3 linked regions of the Xenopus tropicalis genome follow. The protein of the gene in region 3 interacts with the protein of the main gene of each other region in a pairwise test. Links are inferred from orthologs where the notes say so. Each region holds a gene or a part of one and is shown on either strand. Other genes may lie near its edges.

The links.
Region 1: the proteins of trim59 (region 3) and zdhhc22 interact in binary tests that used the Homo sapiens proteins (3 or more experiments, as listed by UniProt). The link is inferred for Xenopus tropicalis from reciprocal best matches to the Homo sapiens genes TRIM59 and ZDHHC22.
Region 2: the proteins of trim59 (region 3) and nrm interact in binary tests that used the Homo sapiens proteins (3 or more experiments, as listed by UniProt). The two-hybrid records come from large-scale screens. The link is inferred for Xenopus tropicalis from reciprocal best matches to the Homo sapiens genes TRIM59 and NRM.

The regions. Positions count from the first base shown.
Region 1 is NC_030684.2:82,642,895-82,647,043, reverse strand, and holds the start of zdhhc22 (palmitoyltransferase ZDHHC22), read left to right. Parts: upstream 1-1,327; 5' UTR 1,328-1,626; intron 1,627-3,123; 5' UTR 3,124-3,218; coding exon 3,219-3,720; intron 3,721-4,149. UniProt on the Homo sapiens protein: Palmitoyltransferase that could catalyze the addition of palmitate onto various protein substrates and be involved in a variety of cellular processes. Catalyzes the palmitoylation of KCNMA1, regulating localization of KCNMA1 to the plasma membrane.
Region 2 is NC_030684.2:75,536,944-75,541,118, reverse strand, and holds the start of nrm (nurim), read left to right. Parts: upstream 1-1,353; 5' UTR 1,354-1,410; coding exon 1,411-1,588; intron 1,589-2,342; coding exon 2,343-2,542; intron 2,543-3,669; coding exon 3,670-3,846; intron 3,847-4,175.
Region 3 is NC_030681.2:114,755,548-114,758,802, reverse strand, and holds the end of trim59 (tripartite motif-containing protein 59), read right to left. Parts: intron 1,861-3,255; 5' UTR 1,858-1,860; coding exon 664-1,857; 3' UTR 539-663; downstream 1-538. UniProt on the Homo sapiens protein: E3 ubiquitin ligase involved in different processes such as development and immune response. Serves as a negative regulator for innate immune signaling pathways by suppressing RLR-induced activation of IRF3/7 and NF-kappa-B via interaction with adapter ECSIT.

The DNA.
Region 1 (4,149 bases), on a different chromosome or scaffold from region 3:
AACCACCAGCAAACTGCCTGAGAATTTACTTGTCAACATCATACTAAAAGTTATGCACATTCGCGACCCACCCCCCTCCCCGCCGCTGGCAGGGTGCATCCGCGTCTATTTATACTCACATACGGAGAAGTGGGGAGAGGTCCCCATTGCTCCGTATGCCAGCAAATTTCAGAATTTTGGTGCGGCGGGGCGGCATACCGCCCCTAAATTGTTGCCGCCCTAGGCCCAGGCCTTTGTGACCTCGCCACAAATCCGGGCCTGGTTATGAATTCTTAAAATGCTTTCACTTACTGCATGCAAATGATTCTCTTAAACACAGCTGAATATCAGATTTTACTGATCTGATAAATAGTCACCAGATCATGGAAATCTGGAATTGAATTAGGAGATAGGTTTTTCTTATCAAATTGAATCTGGCCCTTTATGCACAACATGTTTTAGGACCCAAATCCCTTTATCGATTGAATTACTGCTTTTTAACTCTGCTTTCAAATCACAAAGAAATTAGGTATTCTTTTTATTATTTTCAGATTTGTCGCCAGTGGTAGCCTAGATTTACCACAGACAACAAATATCCACATTTGTCATTACCCTAAAGGCTGAATTACACAGAAGCTTTTGTTGCACTGTATGTCCCTGTTTTAATAGATCACGCCCCACAAGTCATGGGACGGGTGTAGTGTACATATTTAGAAATAAGATATAGATGGATACACTTTTGTTTCTAACTGAAATTCACTTACTGTTGGATGTAAATGCATAAAAATAAAATATTATTAGCTGCATCTGATCTTATCTGATCTGATAACAGCATGGAATATCAGATGTCATAGCATCCCTGTAGTATTTAATTGCATGGCAATATTTTATGGGACAGATATGTCTATCTGATAAGTCTCTTGAGTAGTTCATCTCATATTCACTGCATTAATTTCTTTCTCAAGACATTGATTGCATACATTTGTTCTGTATTCATGTTTGTTTATATAGGTTTAGGATTAAAAAGCATGTAAAACCTGAATAAACCTGAGTTTCAAGGCAAATAAATAACTCACTGCAAACACATAAAGTATTAAAAAACCCTTTAACAATATACACAGCAAACATTAAACAGAAACATGTTATACTAGAGATTTTTAAGATATAACTCATACGCATCCACCCCCTAAAATCTTCAACATTACATTCAGAAAATATAGATCAGATAGATATATAGATAGATAGATACAGAGAGAGAGAAAGAGAGAGAGAGAGAGAGAGAGAGAGAGAAAGAGAAAGAGAAAGAGAGAGAGAGAGAGAAAAGAGGAGGGAGGGGGTAGGGAAATACCTTAGCTAACATTTAACAACCACAGGAAGCAACCACTGCATCAAACATATCATCATCACCCAGTGAGAAAAGTCATTCATAAAGATATCCAGCAAAGCACAAGCAAGTACCAAGAGAAGTATCAGAGCTGTGTGGCTATGACAGAGGCATGAAGGGGATGTGAAGGTTAATCCGCAGCATCTCTAGAAAGACAGAAGCACAGAGAGAGGGAGAGAGAGAGAGAAGTGCACACACTGAACCCATCACAGCCACTGGCTGTTGATCTGAGCTCTGTATCCTTGGATTCGTCACTAACAAGGGTGAGTATATGTATTAGGTGGTAAGCTAAGGAAAGGCAATGTGCTACAATGTCTTTGGATCGCTCATATTTAAATCAACAAAGAGGGTTAAAAATACAGTTAATAGGCACTGGGCAAAAAAACTATGTACAATGGAGAAGAAAAGGCTGCACATAAAGTGAATTAGGAAGCTGTTATAATAGTGGATGGGGCTTTTAAAGTAAAAAAAAAATGAGGGACAGTACAGGCAGTATACAAGAAGTTATGTATTGTGGACAGAGATGAGGCAAAGTGACAGATGGCCACTACAAAGATGGTATAGAAAGTACTGCAGGAAAATAACTTATTTTGAAAGGATGAGTAGCAGGAAAGAGGAAATTAGAATCTTAAAAAAACAGAAAAGATGCAGTAAGGTATTAGTCGAAATCCATATAAAGAAATATGCAGGGAAAGGGTCAACTGGAACAGACTGAGTGAGGTGTGGCAGTAGAAAGGGGCCAGTTGTTTAGCTGGGAATGAAGAAAAGATCATCTGGTTTAGAAGTAATGAGGTAAGGCAAGATCAGCTGGTGTGCAGAGTATAAGGTGAGAAGGAGAGAATAGCTGGTGTATAGGGAAAGATGAGTAATGTGCAAAGAGATTAGCTGGTAATGAAGGATGATGTTTCGTGGCAGATGATATGATCTAGAGTACAGGTGGATCCACCTGTACTCTAGATCATATCATCTGCCACAAAACATCATCCTTCATTACCAGCTAATCTCTTTGCACATTGGTACCACCTGTACTCTAGATCATATCATCTGCCACAAAACATCATCCCTCATTACCAGCTAATCTCTTTGCACATTGAGATATATATATATACCTCATTACTTCTAAACCAGATGATCATTTCTTTACTGGGGAAGATAAGCTGGTGTAGAAACAATGAGGGTCAGAGATGTGAGTATAAGGTTCAGCATAAAAGATCAACAAGTGCACAAGGAATTATATATAACATTACGAGGGTACAGTTGTTGGAAAGAGCAAAAGCTGAAAAAGGGAGTTGTAGAAAACTTTGTGTATTTCTGGTAATATGCAAACGCAAGCAGTAATCTTACACAACTGCACCATAAAGTCATAAGAAAATTGAAATCAGGCATAATAGGTAAATTTGCACTGTAATACTTATTACACCCTTCTGTATGTGTGAAACCGATGAAGTACATACTAGTAAGAATGAGAATATATAATACCTTCTATAGCAAGTAATTAAAATATATAGATTAAAAGAAACCATTAAGCCATACTTTATATAGGGTATAATGTAATTATATTGTGAATTATCACATTATAACTAATTCCTTTCTTTTGAACCAGGCATGGAAACCGAGATGTTCAGTTTGCATATACTTTTTTTGGTGTCAAGTGTCTCACTGTTAGTACCTATGAGTGCCTTTCCTGACTAGTTTCATTATAGTATTGTGGTGCAGCAAACACAGAACGAAATCAGTACCTGTACCTTCTCTTCTTTCAGGAACAGCGATGAATTATGCTACCGTGCAACAGACTTAGTTTCAGTTTTTAAATATGCAGAATACCAACAATGCTTAGATACAAAATTTCATCAGGATGGTTCTTCTTAAACTGCTGAATCTTCTGGCTCCACTCTATTTCCTCTGCCTGCTATCAGTTACTTTATCCATTCAGTTCTTCTTACTACTTCCTGGCATAAGTGGGGAAACTTCATCTACCTTGTCTTTCTCTGGTTTTATTCACAATTCCCTCTTTGTTGTTTTACTTGTCAATGTGTTGGGAAATTATATACTGACAATCTGGAAGAGTCCTCATGGCAATGCAATGTATGCAGAAACTGAGCTATCAGGAAAACCATTTTGCCATCTTTGTGCCCGGGTGATGGGCGAACAGGAACATCACTGCTTTTTCACAGGAACATGTATAGGACGCAGCAATCTTCGTAGCTTTGTTCTGTTTTGCCTGCATGCTTCCTGCAGTTGTTTTCATGCTATGGTGGTTGGAGTGGGATATATTTCAGAAAGCATCTCTCTCTCCTTATACGATCCTATGACCTTCCTAAGGCTGCTGCCTCTCTCTATTACTCGATTTTTCTCAGGTTAGTTTTTTATACATATTTAGCCAGTGAACAAAACATATTTGGGGTTTAAACAAGTAGCCATTAATTGCAATGGTCATGATTATCAAGTGATAACTATGTAATTAATAGAATACTATATTCTTTTGTACTGGTTATCACAAAAGCACAAGGATAAACAAACTACCACTTCAATACCTGTACCCAAAATTCATATTAATCCAGACATGCTCCGTCATACAGATTTACCTGGCATTAATGCAATATAGACAATTTTCCCCCCAGATATTTCCCCTCACATATTACATTTCTAATGCTTACATATTTAAAAGTTCACATAAAGAACAGAATTTTACTACATGAACAGTTTGTTGGGATATATAGCAATAAATATAATGGAGTCAGTTGGTCTGTACATTAATGTTAAAGCTCTTGGGTTGATAAATGATG
Region 2 (4,175 bases), on a different chromosome or scaffold from region 3:
GTTATGTGGGGGATAAGATGCTGCAAACTGGAAGCTTTGAGTGGATTTTTGGAAATGTCATCAAAATTGCTAACTTTAGAAATGCTTTGTGGCTTGGTACTTTGAAGTAGAAAGACATGGGTACCCATTTTAAATTCAGGGGAATGTGTACTTTCCAAAAATATATGGCTTTCTGGGATGAGCATACTTCATACTAGTTTTATTCCACTTATAATGATGTAAATGTGTTGATTTTGCAGGAGCTGGAATGACAGAAGTGATAGATCATATGGGGGTATGTTCACATTGGGGCCCCTACATGCCACATACTTAAGTAAACCTATACATATTTGGCATCAAACTATTCAGTGGACCCCTGGCATTCATATTTAGGGTGTTTTATTTGGTTACTTCATGACCTTTAGGAGATAAGATACTATAGACTGGAAGCTTTGAAGCGATTTTTTCAAAACTTCACAAATTTTGATAAAAACCTACAAATTTAGGAAAGCATTGTGACTTGATAGTTTGGAGTAGACAGACAGTTGTGCCTACTCTGTATACCCCAGAATCTGTTCTTTACAGAAATGTGTAATTTTCTGGGATAAACCTTCTGTTAGTGGAATTTTTGGCCTTGAAATCTAAAGTATGCAGCTTTCTGGAGCAGTGCTTTGGAAATTTGGTAGTGTACTGCTGGGAGTTTTTGACCTATACAAGTGAGAAATCTCCATAAAACTATATATATTTGGTATTGGTGCGTTCAGGAGACATGGGACTTTCCAAATCAGTTGTATTTTTGTGCATAAAATAATTTTTGTTTCTGGTATGTGATTTTTTAAAATTTTGTAGACATTTAGAAGCCTATATCTTGTTACAAAATTGGAATTACACCAAAATTCTACCAAATTTTGAAAGCTTAGTTTGTCCAGAAAAAAACGATATATTGTTTTCCTGGATAAACTAAAAGTCCCCCAGAAGAAAGGCCCCTAAAGTGCAAAATGTTCAAAGACTGTCTGGTAGTAGAAGTTCCAGTGAAAGGGTTAAAGAAACAAATTTACAAAAAAAAAATACAATTCGCCCAACGTGGGGCTCGAACCCACGACCCTGAGATTAAGAGTCTCATGCTCTACCGACTGAGCTAGCCGGGCTGCTTGGTTCAAAAATTCCACTGAGTATATTTAAGCACAAAAGCCAAACACTAATTCCTTTTTATTTGTTTGTTAATATACTTTTTCCACTGACGTTTACAGATTTCACAGCCTCCCTTCCACACCAGCAAATATGCTGAAAAAATGTACTAGCCTAACAGGGGTAGCAGCGACTTGTATAATACAGAAAAGAACCTGGTGACGCAAACAGGCGTGGCGAATTAGTATGGGGTAGCCCAAGTGCATCTGGGCGGGGCAATTACGAGGCGCTGGTTGCTTGAAAATGTCGGCGAATCTTCAAGTATCTGGACAGGTGTCCTCTGGGCCCTCGGTTCTGTCTTGCATTGTTTTATCGTCGGCCTCTTTGTTGTGTTTTGTGGCTGGATTTGGGACAGGGGCCGAGTTCGTGCGGTTTCTTTCATTCGGCGCTATTTTCAGGAATATCAGTGGGGGCCTAGATGGTGAGCATAGCCGGGTTATAAACTATGAAAAAGTGGCGGGAACTTGCTACAAAACACGATAAGGGAGTTTGAATAAACCAGGGATGAGATCTCACAGTTTAAAATGCGAATTGTACGAAAGGGATAGTAGTTACAGTGACTGTTTCACTGGGAAAGGGAATGTGATAATGATTTGGCTACAGCTCAGCTGTGTGCTGCTCCAAACACAGACAAATGTGCGTAAATATGGTCAGGCAATATTATCTGTTTATTATGCCAAGGCCCAAAGATTTTTCACATGAATTCCTTTAAAAAAAAAAAAAAAGGAAACATTAATTCACTAAGGGTGCCAATATGTTAGGTGAATTAAATTACTAAATTGCTCTCCTTTTCAGAAAAACCTTCTGTAGCATTGCCACATTGTCTTTTACTTGATTTTCATAGACTTAGATTTGTGCAGTATAGTGAAAATGTCCACCTTTAATTTACTCTACATTGGCAAGTGTAAATAAACAAGGAACTTCTGGGTAGGTCAGGTACAATTGCGGCTTGGTGCTCCTATAGAAAGTTACTTGGGTTAAAAAGAAGATTGCACCACTGCTTGTAAGGTGATTTTTGCCTGAAAATAGTTTAGTGCAAGAAGCACTGGTGTTAGTACTTTTAGGCAATTCTTAATGCAGGGCATAACAGAGGGCATTTTTGAGAATTCTGGATTTAAAGTAATTGGATGGGCTAAACACCCTAAATCAACTTATGCATTTTGTTTTGTTTTTAGGTGAAACACCAATAACATGGAGCGAAGCAATGAGAAACACCCAGTTTCAATACTGTATTGGGATTGATATTGGTCTTCTTGTTTTATTTGTACTCCAACACAGCATAATGGCCTGGACAGCAGTGAAGGAAAATGTGCTGCATGTGTTTGGTGTTCTCCAGCGTTCAATATATATCCTATGCACTGCCCTGTCTCTCCAGGTAAAACGTCTTCATGTTACTGTGGAGATTAATGGCATAGCAGCAGGCAATAATTGGTTTTACTCCAAATAACGGTGACATCCAAAAGATCTAGTTAAAACAAGGCTTTTCCTGAAATTTATATTTTTCAGTCAGCAGCACTCAGGTTGTTTCAAATGTTTGCCACACAGTTGTGAACAAACCCCAAAATAGAGACTATACCTATCTAAGTACTAAAGGTGATCATACCCTGATCATCCTCAATGGTATCCTACCAGCTGATGTTCAGATGAATTGGCCACTCTATTTATATTGTAGATGACACATTTAAAAAGCACTTTAAATAGATTTTTTATTATTCATATCTACCCAGTGGTGATTACGTTCTGAGGGCCCTTCCACAGAAGAATTATGACTCTTGATGAAACTTACTATATGTTGCTTTATGCAAGCCCATATATAAAGTGTAATAGAACTCAACAGTAGTGAGACTTTATATGTACAATTTTTCTTTTTAAAATGTACCTATTTATACTTTATTGCTTTTTCAAATCTTTATGTCCATGCAAGTCTGAAAGTTTTTTAGGCACTACTGAATTTTTTGTTAAAGGAGAGCTTACCCTTTCATTTTATCTTTATGATTGCATATATTAGACATAATATTAATATCAAACAGTGCCTCATCTTTGCTTCTACTTCATATAATAAGCTGCATGACTTCCATGGAGACCTTTTTAACCCCAAACACCAATCCTTATTACTTTGTTAATAACCTTGCTCCTCTAGCAGGCTAAGGGGCAGATTTTTCAAAATGTGAGTTTATAACTTAATACATAAAAACCCACCCATGTTCTATGCATTCATATGGGATTTTTAGAAGCTTATTTATCAGTGGGTGAAAGTTAGAACTCACCATTTGATAAATACCCACAGGAATGAGTAGAACATTGGTTTTTATGTATAAAGCTGCAAACTTACGTTTTGATAAATATGCCCCTAAGTATTTGGGTCTATTTTGGACCAAAAGTTCTTATTGCTGCTACCATGTATGCACACAATTTTCAGATTTTCGTGGCCTTCAATTTAGCAAGGGATTTTAGTTTATTACACCAGTGTAGGCTCTTGTACCTACATAATTTTTCTTCCAGGTGCTGATGAGATTCTGGCAGCCCTGTCCACAGGGTCCATACCTTTGGAATGTTTCTGCTGGTCCATGGAGTGCATGGCTTGCTTTACTCTGTGCTCTCTTGCACACAGTATCGTGGCTCCTTATATTCAGTGTTCTACTCATCTTTGACTATGCAGAATTGATGGGGATCAAACAGGTGAGTATGTGTTTTTCATACATAATAAGCCATTGATTTTCAGACTTTAAAGCAGAACTAAAGCTTAACTAAATAATTAGGCTAGAAATGTTGCACGTTATGTTTTGGGCTTCTGTACCAGCCCAAGGCAACCCCAGCCCTTTAGCAGGGAAGATCCGTGTCTCTGAAGATGCCCCAGCAGCCCTCTATCTTCTTTATACCTGATTCACTGGACATGTTCTGTCCTGCTGTCAGTTACTAAGCTTAAGGACTGACCCACAATACACCGTATATACAGTCATATGAAAAAGTTTGGGAACCCCTCTTAATTCTTTGGAGTTTTGTTTATC
Region 3 (3,255 bases):
TATCCCTTGCTGGCTTCTAGCAACAGTACAGGCTTTCAAAGGTGCTAGGGTAGATTGTGGCCATTGAACCTATGGATAACAAAGCAAGAGCAAAATAAAAATAATACATTCACGCCATAATATGTCCATTATAAAAATACAAAGGAAATATAAACCTTACATTTGAAAGGTTAAAGATTAACAGTAAAACATGCAATATTGTGTAGGAAAAAAAAAATCAATGGGTTCAACAGAAATTCTACAAACGTCTAAATCAAGAAACCACTCCTACAAAACTGAAATAGTAAAATGATTTCTTATTCTTCATAAAATTAGTTTATAAAAGTTTATAAAAGTTATATATATAATATTATATATATATATTTAATCATCCTGATGACGATCCTATGAGGGTCGAAACGCGTTGATGCGATGATTAAATAAAGAAGAAATCTTTTTACTTTACATTCTGATGCCGTGAGTGCTTTCTACAAACCTGCTGTCTATTTTTTGGTCAGCACCCGGCGAGTGCCTCTGGAGCGGTGAGTGCCGATTTTACTTGGACTATATTTAATATTATATATATAAAATTATATAAAGAGTATCTATAGTTTAAAAAACAAAACAAAATGCAGCCTGCATTCATACAGTTGCATGTGTTTAGAAAGAATCATTTAGTTGCGCTCACAACAAACGTGATAGCCAAACTTCAGAAAGATGCCAGCAGTGCAGTGCGGCTTCCCGAATGGCACACGTGGCGCTGCTCAAACCCTTCCTAACAGGATCCATGATTTCAGAAAGGTACGACATGTACCTAGAAGCAAAATAATTTAACGTGTTGGTGTCGTACAACCAGATAGCGAACATTAGTACAAAAAATAAAGTCATTATTAGTAAAATACAAAGAACTGTCCATTTATCTTGAAGCATTCGGGATTTTTTGGGTGTTTCGAAGCACAGATTTATTGTTGGAGTTGGCACCAGATTGATTTCACCAAGTCTAGCTTTCGCCCATTCATTATTTAGAAACTGCCTGACTCGAGGGTAGATTGCAACTGGGTGGACAGTGACAAGTTCCTGCTTCTTTAGAGCTTTCATCCTTTTGCGTATGTTGTGAAGGCTTTCCAGGAACAGCAGAGGGGACGGCTCTTCCTGAACGGAGCTGCTCAGAGAGATGAGATCTAACTCTTCATCTTGAATCTGCTTCATCTCCTCTATCTTTGGAGCATACACCTCGACAATCTGTCGATTGAGATCACTGAGAGCAGCCAGCATATCTTGCTTCTTCTGCTCCAATGTCTCATTCAACCGCTCGAAACAACTTACCACCTCCTTTTTATCATCCAAAACAATCTGTTTACAATAATTCATTTGTTCTTCTAACTTCTCAATGACGAAGGAGACGCCGATGAAGTGTTTGTCAGTCAGAATGTGGAGATATTTCGAGGCAGTCAGCCGCTCTTTTAAGTAGGCACTTTCTGGATCATCGATTGCATGCCCTTGGTGTTGCCCTACGGTAAGGCACTGGCCACAGATTAATTTTCTATCTCTAAGACAAAATAGGTTTAAGGGCTGTTTGTTGTGTTCGGGGCAGGTGGCTGCTTTGAAGTGGTTTTCACTTTTGTACTTTTCAACAATGGATTTCAATGCAAAGTTTATGGGTAGGGCCAGAGTTCCCGACATTGTTAGTTCTGAAGTGTTTCGGCACGATGGGCATTTAAGCCAGGCAGCAGATGTCCTCCACAGACCACTGCCTGAGGAATGTATAACTTTCTCAAGACAATTCCTGCAAAACGTGTGTGAACATGGAAGGATTCGCGGGTCATCAAAAATATTATAGCAGACTGAGCAGGTGAGTTCATCTTCAAAGTTATCCATTGCCTGTGAAGAAAGTTTGTATTATTAAATTACACTGTGTACATTGCAAATAATTCTACCAATTAAAATTGTATTCTGAGCTTGAGTCTGAGCTTTCAGAAGGAGCCAGCGCTACACATTAGAACTGCTTTCAGCTAACCTATTGTTTCTCCTACTCCCATGTAACTTGAGCCGGGCTTGGATTTCTTACTATTGAGTGCTATTCTCATACCTACAACTAGGTGGGGCATGGGAGCATTTTTAGCAATACAGGTGTCAGGTGCTATCTTGCTACTTTTCTATTGTTCGGCTGATCGGCTGCTGTTGGGGTGGGGGGTGATATTACTCCAACTTGCAGCTCGGCAGTAAAGTGTGACTGAAGTTTATCAGCGCATGGTTGGGTGACATGGTTGGGGGCACCGGGAAAACTAAGAATATGTCTAGCCCCTTGTCAAATTCCAAAATTAAATATATTAAACCTGTCTGCTCTTTTGAAAAATGGATTTCAGCGCAAGATTCTGCTGGAGCAGCATGGATGCATGTTTTCCCAGAATCACTTTAAGATGCACTATTTCCACTTATATTCCCATAAATATGTAGCTACATTTGAAGATAAAACAGACAAAATGTATTTATTTTAATACTTATCACCTCAAGAAATGAAACAATATGAGCACCAGGTTACTGAAAGATCGTGGTCATTAATCCTAAATTTAAAGGCACTCTTATATGTGAAGGGCTCCGGTTCAGCACAGAATGTGATGTTATGTAAAGGACTGTAATTGTCCATAACACATGGATGTGCTTCCGGTTCTGTAAGTTAAACAGATAACCTAAGGCAGGGGTCTCAAACTCGCGGCCCGCGGGCCATTTGCGGCCCTCAGTACAATATTTTGTGGCCCGCACCAACGCCTTCGCAAAAGCAATGAATGGATCGCGATTTTTATTGCGATTCAAGGGATAATGCAAGGCACGGCGGGCGGGAGCTGCTGATTGCGGAAATGACGTTATGCCATCATAACAGTTATTATGGGAAGACGTTCTGTGTGCACAATTAGCTCCTTAGTTAGCAGCTAATTGTGCACACAGAACGTCTTCCCATAATAACTGTTATGATGGCATAACGTCATTTCCGCAATCAGCAGCTCCCGCCCGCCGTGCCTTGCATTATCCGATAATGCAAGCCTTCATGGACTTTTTTTTGTGAAATCCCTTATGCGGCCCAGCCTCATCCTGACTTTGCCTCCTGCGGCCCCCAGGTAAATTGAGTTTGAGCCCCCTGACCTAAGGGGACCTGTCACCCGGACATCAAAAACTGTATAATAAAAGTCCTTTAAAAATACAATATGAAACACAAATTAGTTTTTTTTATTAACACATCCAAACATCCCTGCTGTCAATCATATGATGCCATAGAGG